Diceros bicornis minor: one gene and its partner. The protein of the gene in region 2 interacts with the protein of the main gene of each other region in a biochemical or structural test. Links are inferred from orthologs where the notes say so. Each region holds a gene or a part of one and is shown on either strand. Other genes may lie near its edges.

Region 1 (8,040 bases), on a different chromosome or scaffold from region 2:
AATCTATGAATACTCAAAAATCTACCTCACTTTTCCACGCATCCTGCTAAAACAAGTGTCAATGGAGGGGCTAAATTATTATATACTCAAAGTTTGTCAATAACAAAAACTAGTTGAAACAAATGGGACACTAACAGGGGCCAGTCTGGTGGCGCAGTGGTTAAGTGCTCGCACTCCACTTCAGTGGCCCGGGGTTCGCAGGTTCGGAGCCCGGGCATGCACTGACACACTGCTGGTCAAGCCATGCTGTGGCAGTGTCCCATATAAAGTAGAGGAAGATGGGCACAGATGTCAGCCCAGGGCCAATCTTCCTCAGCAAAAAAAAAGAGGATTGGCATCGGATGTTAGCTCAGGACTGATCTTCCTCACACACACAAAAAAATGGGACACTAACAGATTGTGATTTGGCAACTGTTTATAAAGACTTTTATCATAATAGTACTGTTTTAATGAGATTTACAGCTAAGAATTATTGTTTATCAATTCATCTCCATTCACTATTCATTCAAAAATGAAGACAATTAAAATAATGTTAATTTAGTAATACAGCCTTTATTTCCACCTCAAAAAAATTAAGATAATTATACCAAATTTTATGTCAACATCTCAAGCATTTTCTACTAAATACTTTAAAATAGCATTAAAATACAGAAACATCTGAGTTTTCATTTACTTATAACTGGAATTCACAATTATAAATACAAATATAAAATAAACAGTAAAAACGAAACGTGTTGAGCACTCAGAAGAATGGTTAATCAAACAAGTATTACATAAGAGGAAAAACATGGCATTAATAGCCAATCCAGTGACGAATTCTCTTTTACATTTCTGCACAAATTCTACATTATAACCTCTTAATAAAATCGTTTAAACTCTCCAAACTTCAAAATCTGTTTCTACTATTCCAAAAGGATGCTATTTGGGTAACATCCAACTTATACCCTCCAAACTGAAATTTACAAACCAATGATTTGCTTTAACAAAAGTACAACGTCATGACTTAACACCAAGGAAGAAACAAGCAGTCATAAAACATAAGTTTATTATCATCTGTATTTTCACGCCAAAAATTTCAAGTCAATTTCTTGGTACAGAAATAGCTACCTTTAAAGAAGATAAGTATTTATATTTTCCCAGTTCATAACATATTTTGAAAATGAATCAACCAAGCTATGCATTAAAATTAGTATTTTCTACTAATTTCTACTCATTCAACAAACGTGTATTTGTGTCATCACAATTATCATTACTGGAGTTACTTCACCTACCAGTTTTTATTTCTCAGAAAAGTTTTAACTGCAAAACTGCAGAAACTTTTAAAAAGATAGCTGTAAAACTCACTAGAGAAAATTCCTCACAAACTGAAGTCAGCAAATGGTTGAAAACAGATGGCACTACAGTAACCCCAAAGGAAGATGATGAAGGGATGTACTTACGTTTCAAAACAACGATCCACGTTGTCAGACATCAAAAGCAGCATGCATAGCTGTTCAAGGGCTATTAGTTGCATGTCCCTTTCATCTCCCTGTCCCATCTGTAGCCATTCCAGCAACGTATCTGGATCCACATCTGCCATGGTTTTTTAAAAGCCTTTTTGCTTAAATTAAAAAAGTAAAGTAAAAAGTCCTTTAAATGTCCAGGACTGATCAGCTTGGGTTTAAAAAGTTTTCTTTTACATCAGCTAGAACCAAATTTTCGTGGTGTCCTCCTAGAATTAGAGAAAACTCATAAGTATGTTTGGATAGAGCGCTTAATGCAGTTTTTCAACTTTCCTTATTCCTCAGGTTTACCGTTCACTTATCATACTAACTAAAAACCAGTTTTGCACAAGAGTATAAACTGATTAGGTTGTTGCTTAACTGGAAACCAGAGCAGTCTTTGTCAGTCAAGCTTCGGATCCCACTACTGCTATCACTAACTTCTGTGCCAAAAGGCAAAGAACACCTTACTAAAGGTTCTTTTTTTTCCAGCAAACTTCTCCCGTCCAACCCAAAACAGATCTTCAGATAAGGGTTAGATTCAGTATTTTGAGGAAACTAAGCACTTTGATCCAATCCCCCTTCAAATTAAGTTGCTGCTTTAAAATTGACAAAACCTGCTGACGACTTAACTTACCGCTCTTCTTAAGATGTCCACCCCACATACAAACGATAATTAGACACCAAATCTATCTATGACTAAAGGCTTGGTTAGGAATTTTGGCAGTCTTGGCAACTGTTCTTAAAAGTTTAAAAAGAATCACTAAGAGCAAATGCAAGGGAATAGCACGTTACGGATCAGAGTATAGGCCAATCTACGGCCCTCTCTCCCCATCTCTACAGAATGGGACAGTTGGCTAAGAAAAGAGACAAAACAGAGAAGCAGCCCCAACAGGCAAGTGCTTACAAAAGCTCGGAAGCGCCCGGCGGGAGGACAGCTTCGGGGCCCGCGTACCCAGCTGCAGGTGTGGGACTCCAGCGGCGGGGCGCGGTGGGCACCCAACGGCGGCGGCCAGCAGGGTGACCCAACACCCCGGGCCCGGCCGAGCCCCGCGCCGGGAGGCGAAGCCCCGCGCCCTGGTTTCCCGGCACCAACCCCGCTAAGTTAGCTCCCCGTATCGGGGAGGAGGGGAAGTTCTGGAGGAGAAGCAGCCAGCCTCCGGGCCGAGCGGCGCCCGGAACTCCGAGGCCCGGCGGGACGTCCCCGGGCCGGCCGGGAGGCGAACCCTTCTCAAGGGCAAGGGGGGCCCGTCTTGGGCCCGGGCTCAGGCAAGCCGGGCCCCGCCGCGGGCAGGGCCGGGGGAGGGGAACAAAGGGGCTAAGCCAGGGAGTCGGCAGCAGCCCCGCCGCCCTCACCCGGGGCCGGGGTCTCGCTCCCGGCCCGCCGCCGGGCATCCCCGGATCCCGGCCCCAGGCCTGGCCCTTCCGACCGCCCACGGCGCTCCCGCCTTCCCTCCCCTCCGGCTCTTACCCGGGCCTGTCGTCCCAAAGCGCTCCGGTCCAGCTCCGAGCAGGCCGCGGGCAGAGCCAGGCCCGGCCGCGGCCCTCGAGTTCCCAGGAAGCCGCAGGCCGCGCAGCTCGAGCCGGGCAGGCGGCACAGGAAAAGCCGCGCCTCGTCCCTCCCCTTCCTCCGCGGGGAGCCGGTGACAGGCAAGCGAGAGGTTCCCCCGACCGGCGGCCGCCAGCGCACTTCCCGTCCCCAGCACGCGGCTCCTCAGGCCCTGCAGCTCAGAGGCCCGCGCGGTGCTGCCGGCGGCGGCGGCGGCGGGAGGCCGCGTCCATCGCGATTCCGGAGGGGGAAGGGAAGAGGGTCCGGGCGCGGAGGCTGCGGAGGGCAGCCGAGCTCGGCGGGGGCGGAGCAAAGCGACGCTCCTTGGCAGCGACCCCGCCGGCCGCCACGAGGGGCGCTGCGGAGACCCGTCGGCCAGCGGCGCGGGGGCGCCGGCCCGGGCGCTCTGGCCACCGAGCCTCGGGCTCGCTGGCCTCGCCAGCTGTCGCTTGTCTCTCCGATGCCCTGGCGCCTTTACGCTTCGCTGTCAATCCGAGCGCGCTCCCGGGCCCCGCGCACACCGGCGCGCGCACGCTCCGCTTGTTTTGCACGGCGTCTACACACTTGGCGTGCTCCCGCCGAAGGCCCCACGCTGCGCGCCAACGCTGCGGCCCAACCCGCGCCGGCCGAGCCTCCGGCCGCGGCGACCGGTCCTCCGCCAAGAGCGTCGCCTCCTCCCCGCCGGGCCTCGCCTGGCCTCGCGCACACGGAAGTGCGTCGCGAGAGGAAAAGCAGACCGCGCCGCAGTTCGCCAGGAAGAAAAGCTTTCACCACAACCCTCGGAAGTAAATATTATCGAGTGTTATCGCCATTGTGCAGATGGGAGAACTGAGGCTCCAGAAACCGTAAATTCCACTGGCGTCCCCAGTGAGCAGCAGCGCTGAGTGTGCTTTTGACTCTTTTTTTCTGCGGGTTGAGGTCTCAAATGTGTCCGTGGTTATTCCCTTCAAACGTTTTAGTTTACACGAATTGAAAATAAAATATGCCTGCTTATAGGTCGTGGTTGGAGGTGTTTAAGCTGTAATGAATTGGAAATGTGAGTCAAATAAGAAAATGAATCCCTTGGTTTGTGAGATAAGTAAATCCATGCCTCAGACACTCCCGCTGTACTCTCACTTTTTCATCTTTTAAACAAAAATGAATCTTACACGATAGTCTTTGAGATGTATTCCTTTAAGCAATCGGAGGAGCTGCTGCATATGCTTGAAGAACCAGTATTTTGGAAATTACAGATTTGCACTTCACATATCTGTGGCACATGTGCTACTGTCGCAGGTAATGGTCCCTAGGTCACCTATTAACAGATCAAGTCAGGAGAAAAAGGTAGAGGATTCTACTAACTTGTCACAACTACAACACATGAGAATAATTATTTGGGAGCTATGAATATGACTTGGAGCTGCCAGGAAAATCTTCAAGGAGGAAGTGGCATTCTTTCTGGACCTTGAAGAATGGGTAGAATGTCGACACTACAGGGAGGGGGAAGAATACAAAGCCTGGTATGTTCTGAGACAAAGGAAAGAGGCCCTGTGCCCCAAGCAAAGCACCTGCATTAAGCAATGGGAGGGAGAGAAGGTAGCAGCTAAAGTAAGCAGGGCCTTGAATGCTGAATGCTGAATGCAGAATTTAGGCTGGAGTAAGTAACAAGTTACTACAAGTTACTAGTAACAGTGGACTAGAACATTGACTGGAAAAATTAAGTCTTAGAAAGATTTCTAGGGCAAAAATGTCCAGTGGCTAAAAGGAGCTACCTAGACAAGGAGATTAGCTGAGAGGTTGCTGAAATCCTCCAATAGTGGATGGAGGAAGAGCCTAGTTACTGGCAATAAGAATGGAGAAGAAATACATCTAAAAAAAATTTTTTTTAAAGATATGTCAAAATTTAAATGATTAACTTCAATTAGTTTTTTAACCTGCAGAAAGGTCTTGGAAGCTAGGGAAATGATGATGCTATTAACAGAAAATAGAGAAGTTGGAAAAAGTGACTACACTTTTCAAAGTTTTGAAGGTATATTTTCCTTTATTCCCTCACCATCTCTATCTGCACCACCCACTTCCTACCCCCCCCCCAAAATTAATGACTGTGGTATGCTTTAAAGAAATCTATCAAGAAAATGCTGTGACTTTTATTGTGATTTTATTATGACATTATTATCTTAAATTCAAATATGAGATCCTAGAACAAGAGCATTAAAGGAAAGGAATTAAGCCCTGAAGAAAACAGAGGAAGCAGATGAAGGCAATACTGCCCCTACTTGAATCTATATCCCAGGAAACCAGGATATGTTTACATGCTAATAATCCACCTCAATGTTAAAATCTAAGAATAATGGACATTGAGAATTTTTATGTGCCAGGCACAGTAACTCATAGGCCTCATCTTCAATAAACTATAAAAGTCTAGGAGAGGGTAGATGTAAACACACTTCCCGTGTCGGCCTCTACGATAGTACTTATCCCATAACATTGTCAGGTACGCTGGAAACATCAAGGAGGTAATGGTGTCTTAGAAGGCTTCGAAAATGATGCGCGGGCTGGATCTCAGATGTTGAGTTGGAGCTAGCCAGACCAACTCCATTAGGTCTCCATTAGGAAGACCATGTGGAGAGGCATGGAAGTATGAAGAGGGCTCCTCTTGGGCGAGCAGAGGGAACAGGCCACCTTTTGAGGTAGGCCTCACTTTCACGAAGGATCTTCAATATACACACAGTCACTAGAGTCCTTTCACAAGATCAAGAAGGAAGAGATTCATCATTTACATTTAAACTCTTATCCCACCCACAGGCATTACTATAAATTAATTTTTTAAATAAATCATTATCTTATGGATAACACAACTATATGGCATTAAATTTTTTATGTATCAAAAGCATCCAATGGAAAATTCCAATAGAGTAAAAAGAAAAAATAATAATCACCTACCACCGTGAGACTGTCATTAACACTTTGATAACGTTTCTATGGCCTTTTTTCTAGGCATAAACATGTAAAATCATATATATTACAGTTTGTGATCATATTAGTAAACAATATGAAGTTAGTATGACATTAAACAAGTCTTAAGCCCTTTTCTTGGACTTCTTACATCACCAAAGTCCAAAATTCATCTACCCATCCCCATCCAAACTCACGTGTTATTCAGGGAATCGTTTTGATCCCTTTTATCAGCTAGCTAAAGAAGCCTGAGGGCCAGGTTTAAATTAGCTGAGCCTGGAAAACTAGCTGCTTTACTTCAGCCATGAGGATTAAACTTCTACTCTCAGAGATTATGTGTCTGCCATAGCAGAGTTCGAGAGGTGAGCAGTTATTCAAGTAAAGCTGCTTAGGAGACAAATCCATCTAGGTCATTCAAAACCAAAATTATCTTTTACTTCCCTGGAGGTCATTTGCCATAGATTATCTGAATCCTTGTCTTTAAGACCCAGGAACGTAAATCGGAATTTAATGTAAATGTGGAGCCTGGGGAATAGTGTGTGATTTACTAGGTAAATGCAAATGGCTTGATAACACCCGCAGACTAGATGTATGTATTATTAACGTGGGAATGTGGATATACTGAGGTATTCTAGAGGTTAAGGCAGGGAGCTTCTTGACCAAGGAAATTAACCACCAAGCTTTCAAGGAAATGTTATCTGTACTAGTTTTTCTTTGAAAATCATCATGACTGTGATTTCAAAGTTTTTTATTATTCAATTTCTTTTTTTTTTTAATTTTTTATTTATTTATTTTTTCCCCCCAAAGCCCCAGTAGATAGTTGTATGTCATAGTTGCACAGCCTTCTAGTTGCTGTATGTGGGACGTGGCCTCAGCATGGCCGGAGAAGCAGTGCGTCGGTGCATGCCCGGGATCCAAACCCGGGCCGCCAGCAGCGGAGCGCGTGCACTTAACCGCTAAGCCATGGGGCCGGCCCTATTATTCAATTTCTTTAGGCTTATATTCAATTTTCTGATGTGTACATAATATGTATACACAAGTGTATATATTTTTATATGTATAAGTATATATGTATATGAAGTTTATATATACATATATGTGTACACGTCACATATATGTATATATAAACTTCTAATAACAGCTTTATTGAAATATAATTCACATACCATGATGTTCATCATTTTAACATGTACAGTTCAGTGGCTTTTAGTATATTGACAAAGTTGTGCATCAGTTACCACTATCTAATTCCAGAACATTTCCATCACCCTTAAAAGGAAATCCCATACCCATTGGCAGTCACTCCACATTCTCTCCAACCGCTAGTCCCTGGAAATCACTAATCTACTTTCTATCTCTCTGTTTTTACCTACTCTGGATATTTCATATAAATGGTATGTGGCCTTTTATATCTGGCTTCTTTCATTCACCAGTATGTGTTCGAGGTTCATCTATATTGTAGCATGTGTGAAAACTTCCTTCCTTTTTATGGCTGAACAATATTCCATTGTATGGATATTCTACTTTGTCTTTATTCGTCAGTTCATGGACATTTGCGTTGTTTCCAGTTTTTGGCTATTATGAATAATGCTGCTGTGAACATTCATGTACAGATTTTTTGGTAGACTTATATGTTTTCAATTCTCTTGGGTATATACCTAGGAGTGGAATTGTTGAGCCGCATAGTTTAGCTTTTGGAGGAACTACCAAATGTTTTCCAAAGCATCAGTACCATTTACACCAACAGTGTATGAGGGTTCTACCTTGTTATTATCTGTCTTTTTTATTATAGCCATCCTAGTGGGTATGAAGTAGTATCTCATTGTGATTTTGATTTGCATTTCCCTAATGGCTAACCATGTTGAGCAGTTTTTATGTGCTTATTGACTATTCATACATCTTCTTTTGAAAAATGTCTATTCAGATCCTCTGCCCATTTTTAAATTGGGTTCTTTGTCTTTTCATTGTTGAGTTGTAAGAATTCTTTACGTATTCTGAATAGAAGTCCCTTGTCAGATGTATAATTTGCAAGTATTTTCTCCCATTCTTTGGGTTGTCTTTTCAATTTCTTGATGG
Region 2 (7,875 bases):
TAACAAGAGAGAGCAGCTGTACAAAAAGAATGTAAAATCAAGTACAATTCCTCTGGTAAACCACTGTTCTGATTTTTGACCATGAAAAAATGAGCAACTTCAAACTCACAAACCTAGCTTTCCAAGGAAATAGATTAGCCTCTACTGGTCGCACTATCTTAAAGAATCTGGAATGTTGGGGACATTCTTATGTTTTAAAACTACACCTTAGAAAATATCACAGAAAGGGATCATACTGATGCAGCTAGAAAATCAATTCCTGGTTTACCTAATACTCCTTACTCAATCATTCTAATGAGACACAATAAACTCTCCTATAGGGTTGCTGAGATCCAAAAACAGGGAGTTCCCAAATTGCTTGGGTTGTACTTTTTGCTCAGCCCACGCAATCATCTGCCTATGTATATTAATGGAAATGTCCTCCTTATCATTTAATCACAGCTGTCAGCTCTGGGAACACCTTTGCCAAAGGAAAACCTTTAAATACTATAATGCTTGCAGTATTGGGTTAACAACCAAGAGGGGAGATCAAACTCCAAGAACATGCAGTGTGCTCACAATTTCAGAAGGATAATGGAAGGTAAATTGAGGGCTCTAAGATCCATGTAGGGTGAGCGGGAGGAAAAATCACCCCAAGGAAAAATCTATTACATAAGAATACCTACAAATTCTGCATACTCTTAAAACATTTTAATATTGTTTTATTATATATATATAATTTTCATGTAATATAATGCCCAGATCTTTAATGTTCAGTTCCATGAGTTATGACAATTGTATATATATACAATTGTGTAAACTCCACCCAAAACAATGTATAGAACACTTCCATTGTCCCAGAAAATTTCCTTGATCCCTTTCTTAACAAATCACCTCCCAAACAATGGCAGTCACTTTTTTTACTTCAAACACCACAATTAATTTTGTTTCTGGACTTCATATAAACGGAATTATACAGTTCATATTTTTTTGTGTCTTTCTTCTTTTGCTTGAATAATCATTTTGACATTCATCCATGTTGTTGAGTGTGTCAATAGTTCATCTTTTTGTGTTGTTGTAGAATTCCATTGTATGAATGTCATAATTTGTTATCCCATTCTCCTGTTGATGGACATTTGGGCTATCTCCACTTTTAGGCTATATATGAATAAGGCTGTTATGAACATTTGTGTACAAGTCTTTTTGTGGACATATGATTTCATTTTTCTTGAGTAAATACCTAAGAGTAGAATTGCTGGGTCATATGGTACATATATGTTAAATTTTATAAGAAATTACCAAACAGTTCTCCAAACTGGTTGTACCATTTTACACTCTAACCCGCAATGTATGAGAGTTCCAATTGCTGTGCTTCCTTGTCTTCACTTATTGTTGTCAATGTTTTCGATTTTAGCCATTCCAGTGGGTGTAAAATGGTATCTCATTATAATTTTAATCTGCGTTTCCCTGATAACCAATACATTCCAAAGTATCTGAAAATAGCCCTTGGTCGAAGAATAAATCACAGGGGAAATTAGAAACTATTTTAAACTGAATGAAAATGAAAACAAAACATAACAAAATTGTGGGGTGCAGCAAAAGTAATGTGCTTTTAATGCTTTATTAGATAGTGCTCATATTAGGGGCCGCCCCGTGGCATAGCTGTTAAGTGCGCGTTTGGATCCCCGGGGCGCACTGATGCACCACTTGCCAGGCCATGCTGTGGCGGCGTCCCATATAAAATGGAGGAAGATGGGCACGGATGTTAGCTCAGGGCCAGTCTTCCTCAGCAAAAAGAGGATGATTGGCATGGATGTTAGCTCACGGCTGATCTTCCTCACAAAAAAAGAAAGAAAGAAAGTGCTCATACTAGAAAAAAGGAAAAGTGTAAAATCAGTGTTCTAAGCTCCTACTTTAAGAAGCTACAAGAACAAATTATATCCAAAATAAGTAGAAGAAAGAAAATAATGAAAATAAGAGCATAAATCAATAAAATAGAAAATGGACAAACAACAGAGAAAATACAAAGTCACAAGCTGGTTCTTTGGAAGAATTAATAAAATTGATAAATCCCTAGCAAGATTTATCAAAAAAAAAAAAAAAGCAAAAAACAGAGAAAACACAAATAACCAACATCAGGTATACAAAAAGAGATATCATTATAGATGCTACAGACAGTAAGAGGAAAAATAAGAAAATATTATGAGTGACTTTATTCTAATAAATTGGACAAGTTAAATAAAATGGATAAATTCCTTGAAAAACAAATTATCATAGTGGACACAAGAAGCAAAAAGAAAAATCCAAATAGTCTGAAACTCATTAAAGAAATTGAATTTATTATCAAACTCTTTCCACAAAGAAAACTCCAGGGCCAGATGGCTTCATTGGTGAATTCTACCAAATATTTATTTAAGGAAGAAAAAAAATAACAATCCTACACAAACTCTTTCAGGACACAGAGGAGGGAACACTTCCCAATTTGTTTTATGAGGCCAGGATAACCTTGATATGACAACTTGGAAAAGATGTTACAAGAAAAGAAAATTATAAACTGATATCCCTCATGAACATAGATGCAGAAATCTGATTACTATTTGATGCAGCAATTTCATTTCTAGGAGTTTATCCTAAAGAAGCACTCTTAGAGTTGTACAAAGACTAACTACAGGATATTCATTATGGCAATATTTTTAATAGTAAAAATTGGAAACAACTTAAATGTCCCCAAAAATGTGACCAGTTAAAATATAGTACATTTATATAATAGAATATGTGGCCATTAAAATATGGTAGAAATGTGTATTGGCACAGGAAAATTCACTATATATTGTTTATTTTAAAAGTAGATTACCAAAAATTTCAGGTGCTTTTACCACACACACACAAAACGTGAGGAGATAGATATTTTAATTATCTTGACTGTAGTAATCATATCACTATGTTTATGTATATCAAATCATCATGTTGTATACCTTAAATATATACAAACTTTATTTTAAAAAAAGAGGTAGATTACCAAATAGTATTATGGCAAGATCCTACATTTTTCAAAGAAAATATGTATTTATATGTAAGGAAAAAAGACTTAACTAAAAAAGAAAAAAGGGAAGGATATAAACCAAATATCAAAAATGGTTAGGGGTTGGATGATGGGAGTATGGTTGACTTTTATTTCCTTCCTTTTGCCTATCTGTATTTCTTACAACAAATATATATTGCTTTTCTAATACAAAAAAAATTATTGTTGAAGAAAAAAATTTAAAAATCTGACCAATGGGCATTTTTGTAACTCTCTCATCATATTTCCTAGGAAGAAAAGATTTGGGGCTGTGGAATGTTCCTCTTCACCTCCAACCTCAAATATACCCACCCTGGACGACTGGATACAGTTTTCCCCTCTTTGACTCACTGAGCCCACGGCGGCCCTGCCCTATCGGTCCATCCTTCTCTGTTCAGTAGGTGAGGCAGTATAAATTTTGCCACTGACCTACCGTATGACTTTTGGGAAGATCCTTCCCTTAGGGGCTCCAGTTTCTCCTCTCTAAATTCAGGAGATAGAATCAAGGATCTTCAACGTCCCTTTCACATGGAGGAAAGAACACAGCTTAAGAATCAGAAAACCTCGGGATGCACTTGAGTAGGTGGCACCATCTCCCGGGAAAATACTCCTTACTATTCTCCCGTGCAAGTGTCTCCAGCCAGATAATAAGCAACTTCCAGCCCAGGCGTGGTCTTATACCTCACTGGTCCTGGTGTAGGGATCGACACAGAGTGGTTGCTCAGTGAATCAGCTTTTTGCCTCCACCTCCTAAAAAACAACTTCAGAATAGGTTTTCTAGGGTGCTCCTGATGGTGATATGAAACACAAGGTTGTTTTAACTACTGGAGCTCACACTGTGTAAGTTTTTTCTGAGGTAATTGGTACAGTGCCTGTTTGTAACAATTCACCAAGCTTCAGCGAGGTCTGGGCACCTCTCCTACGACTGACATGCTGAGACATTGAAGTTGTCATTCAGGTAGCACCTTGGTTGGAAAGGCCATCTCAGGGCTGCCCGTGGCAGGCTCCAAGAACCACATTCCCGCAGGTGCCTAGGCTGTTACCAGGCGGCTTCTGGAAAGGGATCTGATGAGACCCTAGACTTCGGGGAAGTACCAGCTTTGCCACCGTGGAGCTGTGTGACCTTGGACAAGTCCCTTTCTCCTTAGGGAACGTTGCAACGGGCCTAAATGGCTCTTCCCGGGTCGGTCTATGCTGTGGGAACGGTCAAGTGATCTGGCAAACATTCGCCTTCAAACGTTTATTAATCTTCGATGACACGCGCGTGGCGGACCAAAGACCAGGTACTCAAGGGTCGCAGCGCGCAAACATCCACGACCCCGCGCCACGGCTCTCGCGAGATCTCCCTGCGCTTCGCGGCGTCATCCTCCAAGCGGCCGTGGCGGCGACGGCGCGTGAGATACTCACAGGGGTAGCACGTATCCCTCCGCCGCCGGCGCGGCCCGGCCCTCCTTCCTCTGGCCCGCCAATCCCCGCGCCTTCCGACCTGCCCCTCGTCCTGGGCCCACCCCGCGCTCCGACGGCCCCACCCCGGCGGCGCCGCCCGGCTGCGCGCCCGCGCGTCTCTTCGTCCACCTGCAGCAGGCAGTCCCTCTGGCTGGCCGACCGAGAGGCGCCGGCCGAGCCCCAGGCCTCGGCTCTTGCTCCCCGGCGGAGGGATCCGCGGCGGCTGAGGAGGCGGCGCTGAGCTTTAGAGGAAGAGGCAGCTACGGCGGCGGCGGCGGCGGCGGCGGCGGCGGCGGCGGCGGCGGCGGCTCGGGTGGCAGCACATAAAGGGGCCGCCGCCGGGTGATGTGGTGACCGCTGCGGCAGGCTCAGGAGCCAAGTGGGCCCCGGCCCTCAGTTCGTTCTGCCGGACCCGTGCTCCCGAACTCCCCATCTTCTCCGGCCGACCCGCGATCACCGAGGCGGCCTCGCGCCCCCTCGCCCCTTCCCCGTCCCTCCCCTGTCCCCGTCCCCGCCCCGGGGGCCGCCGCCACCCGCCTCCCACGATGGCTCTGAAGAGAATCCACAAGGTAAGCGGCCGGAGGTCGGCTGTGGGTTCGGGCCTCTGGGCAGGCCAGCTGAGCAGGCTGCGGCCTGCACTTCCCGCCGTCGCCTCCGCCGGGCTCGCGGCCTCTTCAGACCCGGCTGCCGGCGATGGCCCCGCCGGGCGGCCTTCACACCCCACTCCCAGTGATGGCGACCGCGGAGGCCCCGGCGCGCAGCCCGCTCTTAGGCCGGAGGTGCTCGCCGGCTCGGCGTTCCTCCTCGGCCTTCTTTCTAGGCGTTGCGTGGTATGGAGTCTCAGGGCCTCTCCTCGGCCTGGGAGTGCTGCACTGGGAGGCCATTGTCCGGCCGTGCCAGGAGTGGGGGCTGGGGCTGGGGCTGGGGCGTTGGGCGGCCCCATCGACAGAGGTCGAAAGGGCTTCTATCCCATCTTTGCCGGTTCTCCTTCTCCCGTCCACCTGCCCTGGCTCCTCCACAGAACCGCCTGAGCTTGGGGCCTGTATCTCAGGCAGACGGAGGAAACCTTTTTGTGCGATCCATAAGTATTTCTTGAGTTCACTTAGCTCTTGGCGGCCGCACACTTTTATCCACTCTGTTCGTCCAGAAACTGTTAGAGTAGGAAGTTCAGAAGGAAAAAAATATGACTCTTTTGAGGGAGGAGGGAAGTAGAGAGAGAAGCGTTTTATTCCTTGAGGTTGCCATATGTAGTCAGAAACTAACACTTCAGTTTTGCGGGAATGGATCTAATAGAAAAACTGTTCAATTGATAAGGGTGGAGGTAGAAACCTGAGCATTGAAAACCACTGGAGAAATTACACAAAGTTTCTTTTGACAGTCTCTTCACAAAATGGATCTATCTTAACGCTTAAATTAGATGATATGTTTAGGGAAACCCTTTTAATTTGGAAGGGATTTTGCTAGATTTTCCATTAGGCGGGATTTCTTTTACCTTTAAGATGAAGGGTTGTTCATCTAGTTATCTCCTAGTGTATGGACTTGGCTTAAAATTTAGCGCCCCCCACACACACCTTTTAGTGCCTCTCAGTATCACGTTTTTTTCCGTAGAAGTGAGGAAGCACCACTGGTGATTTTTGTTTGGTGTTTCACTTGGCTACTCGGAGAGGTTGTATTAAATCTCTAACCACTTAGTAAGAAGTAGATCCTGGGATCATCCATCCTCAAGGATGGGATGGAAATGCAAGGGGAAGAGAACCAATTTTCACTTTGCGTTACACTCAGTGAAAATGCAGATTGTTGGACAGTGTAAACACCTCAGCTCAGCAGTTGGTCTTCATTTCATTCTTGCTCAAAGACCGTTAATGTGGAAGTAATCCCAGTGGTTACTGTAAATTAGGTTAGATCCTTACCAACTTCTTTTGACTTTGATTTCTAACGAATGGAAAAGGGCAGACGTTAGAGTAAATCTTGTACTAAAATGAAACAGGTTATTTGTTAAAAAAGCTTGAACCTTAACCAAAGATCTCTTAAAGAACCATTTAAGGGGCAGGAGCACACTGAGGAATGGTCATCCAAGTAACAATATGTATGCATTTTTAAGGCTTTTAGTAGTTACTAGGCTCTTATAGAGTCTAATTGGGAAGTTATCAACTTGAGATCATACCTGTAGAAGATTGTGCTCTTATTTTAAAACCTGAAGAATTGTGAGTATAATGTGTGATAACTTACATATCAAGAAATGTAGCCTTTAATCTCTACATTGATTGATAGGTGTGTTTTTTCAGAGAGAAATAGCACTCAAAACATGCGTTTTAGTTTTTTAATATATTTTCTCCCAATAATATGGTTTTTTTTTTTGAGTTACTACATAGTCACTAGATTGTCTCTAAAATATGCCCTTATAAAATTTTAATACAGAAAATCAAGTTTAGATAGTGATAATTTGAACCTTTAAAACTCAGTAGTAACCTTTTTTCTCCCTGGTTTATAACCTGGAGCCCTAATCAAAGTATGGCTTGACTTCTGAGACTGCCAGGAATTAAAAAAAATAAAATTTGTTTTTGGTGTACTAGTCAATAAGATTGTGAAAACAAAATGGAGATCATTTTCTTTTTTCAGACTTTTTGTATGACATCAATTATAAGTTGAATGCAGACTGACATAGGTATGAATAAGACCAGTCATATCTTATCCTTAACCTAGTAATCTATCTATAATGGAATCCCCAAAAGACTTACTTTAATTGATCTTAGTCTTGAACCTTCCCACTTATCATTCTCTGAAAAAAATAGTTCTGCTTAAATACCCTCTCAACTTTAGATATCATGAACTGTTGCCTCTGGGTTCTAATAAAATTTTGCTAAGAACAAATACATTTTACGTGTCATCTTTAGGAATTCAATATCTTGTTTCTTTGACAGAGGGAAATAGTGTTCTGTGAATTTGACAGTCCTTTTAATGCCGTGTCTTTTTTGGGAAAAACTTTTGATGGATTTGATTTTGATACACACTTTTAGTTCTCCTGACCTGTGCTTTAACAGAGTGTACCAAAGAGAGTCATTATGAACATCCAGTATAGGTCTGTGCAGGGATTGGGACCCTTTGGGATTATTTGTATCTATACTAAGTGGCCCCAGCCTGCTATGTTTTGAGGTTTTCTGCTGACTTTGTAGGTCTTCAGCTTTGATTTTGATGCTTTGAGTGTCTGCCTCTAGCAGCACCACCCCCAGCCCTTTTCCAGTTGGTTGCATCTCATCTGTTGTGGGCTGGGAAACCAGATCACAGAGCTTATTAAAATTATGTCTAAAATAAGATCCAGTAGGCTCTGAGTGAAGAGAGCTTCATGTGTTCTGTGAACTGTGTGGTCTGTTAGGCTGATCAGAGACCTT

The links. The genes of interacting proteins can lie anywhere in the genome.
Region 1: the proteins of UBE2D2 (region 2) and HECTD1 form a complex in vitro, tested with the Homo sapiens proteins (2 studies listed by BioGRID). The link is inferred for Diceros bicornis minor from reciprocal best matches to the Homo sapiens genes UBE2D2 and HECTD1.

What each region holds. Positions count from the first base shown.
Region 1 is NC_080744.1:17,489,342-17,497,381, reverse strand, and holds the start of HECTD1 (E3 ubiquitin-protein ligase HECTD1), read right to left. Parts: upstream 3,039-8,040; 5' UTR 2,953-3,038; intron 2,520-2,952; exon of another isoform or gene 2,389-2,519; intron 1,712-2,388; 5' UTR 1,580-1,711; coding exon 1,440-1,579; intron 1-1,439. UniProt on the Homo sapiens protein: E3 ubiquitin-protein ligase which accepts ubiquitin from an E2 ubiquitin-conjugating enzyme in the form of a thioester and then directly transfers the ubiquitin to targeted substrates.
Region 2 is NC_080740.1:57,893,998-57,901,872, forward strand, and holds the start of UBE2D2 (ubiquitin-conjugating enzyme E2 D2), read left to right. Parts: upstream 1-4,775; 5' UTR 4,776-5,031; coding exon 5,032-5,055; intron 5,056-7,875.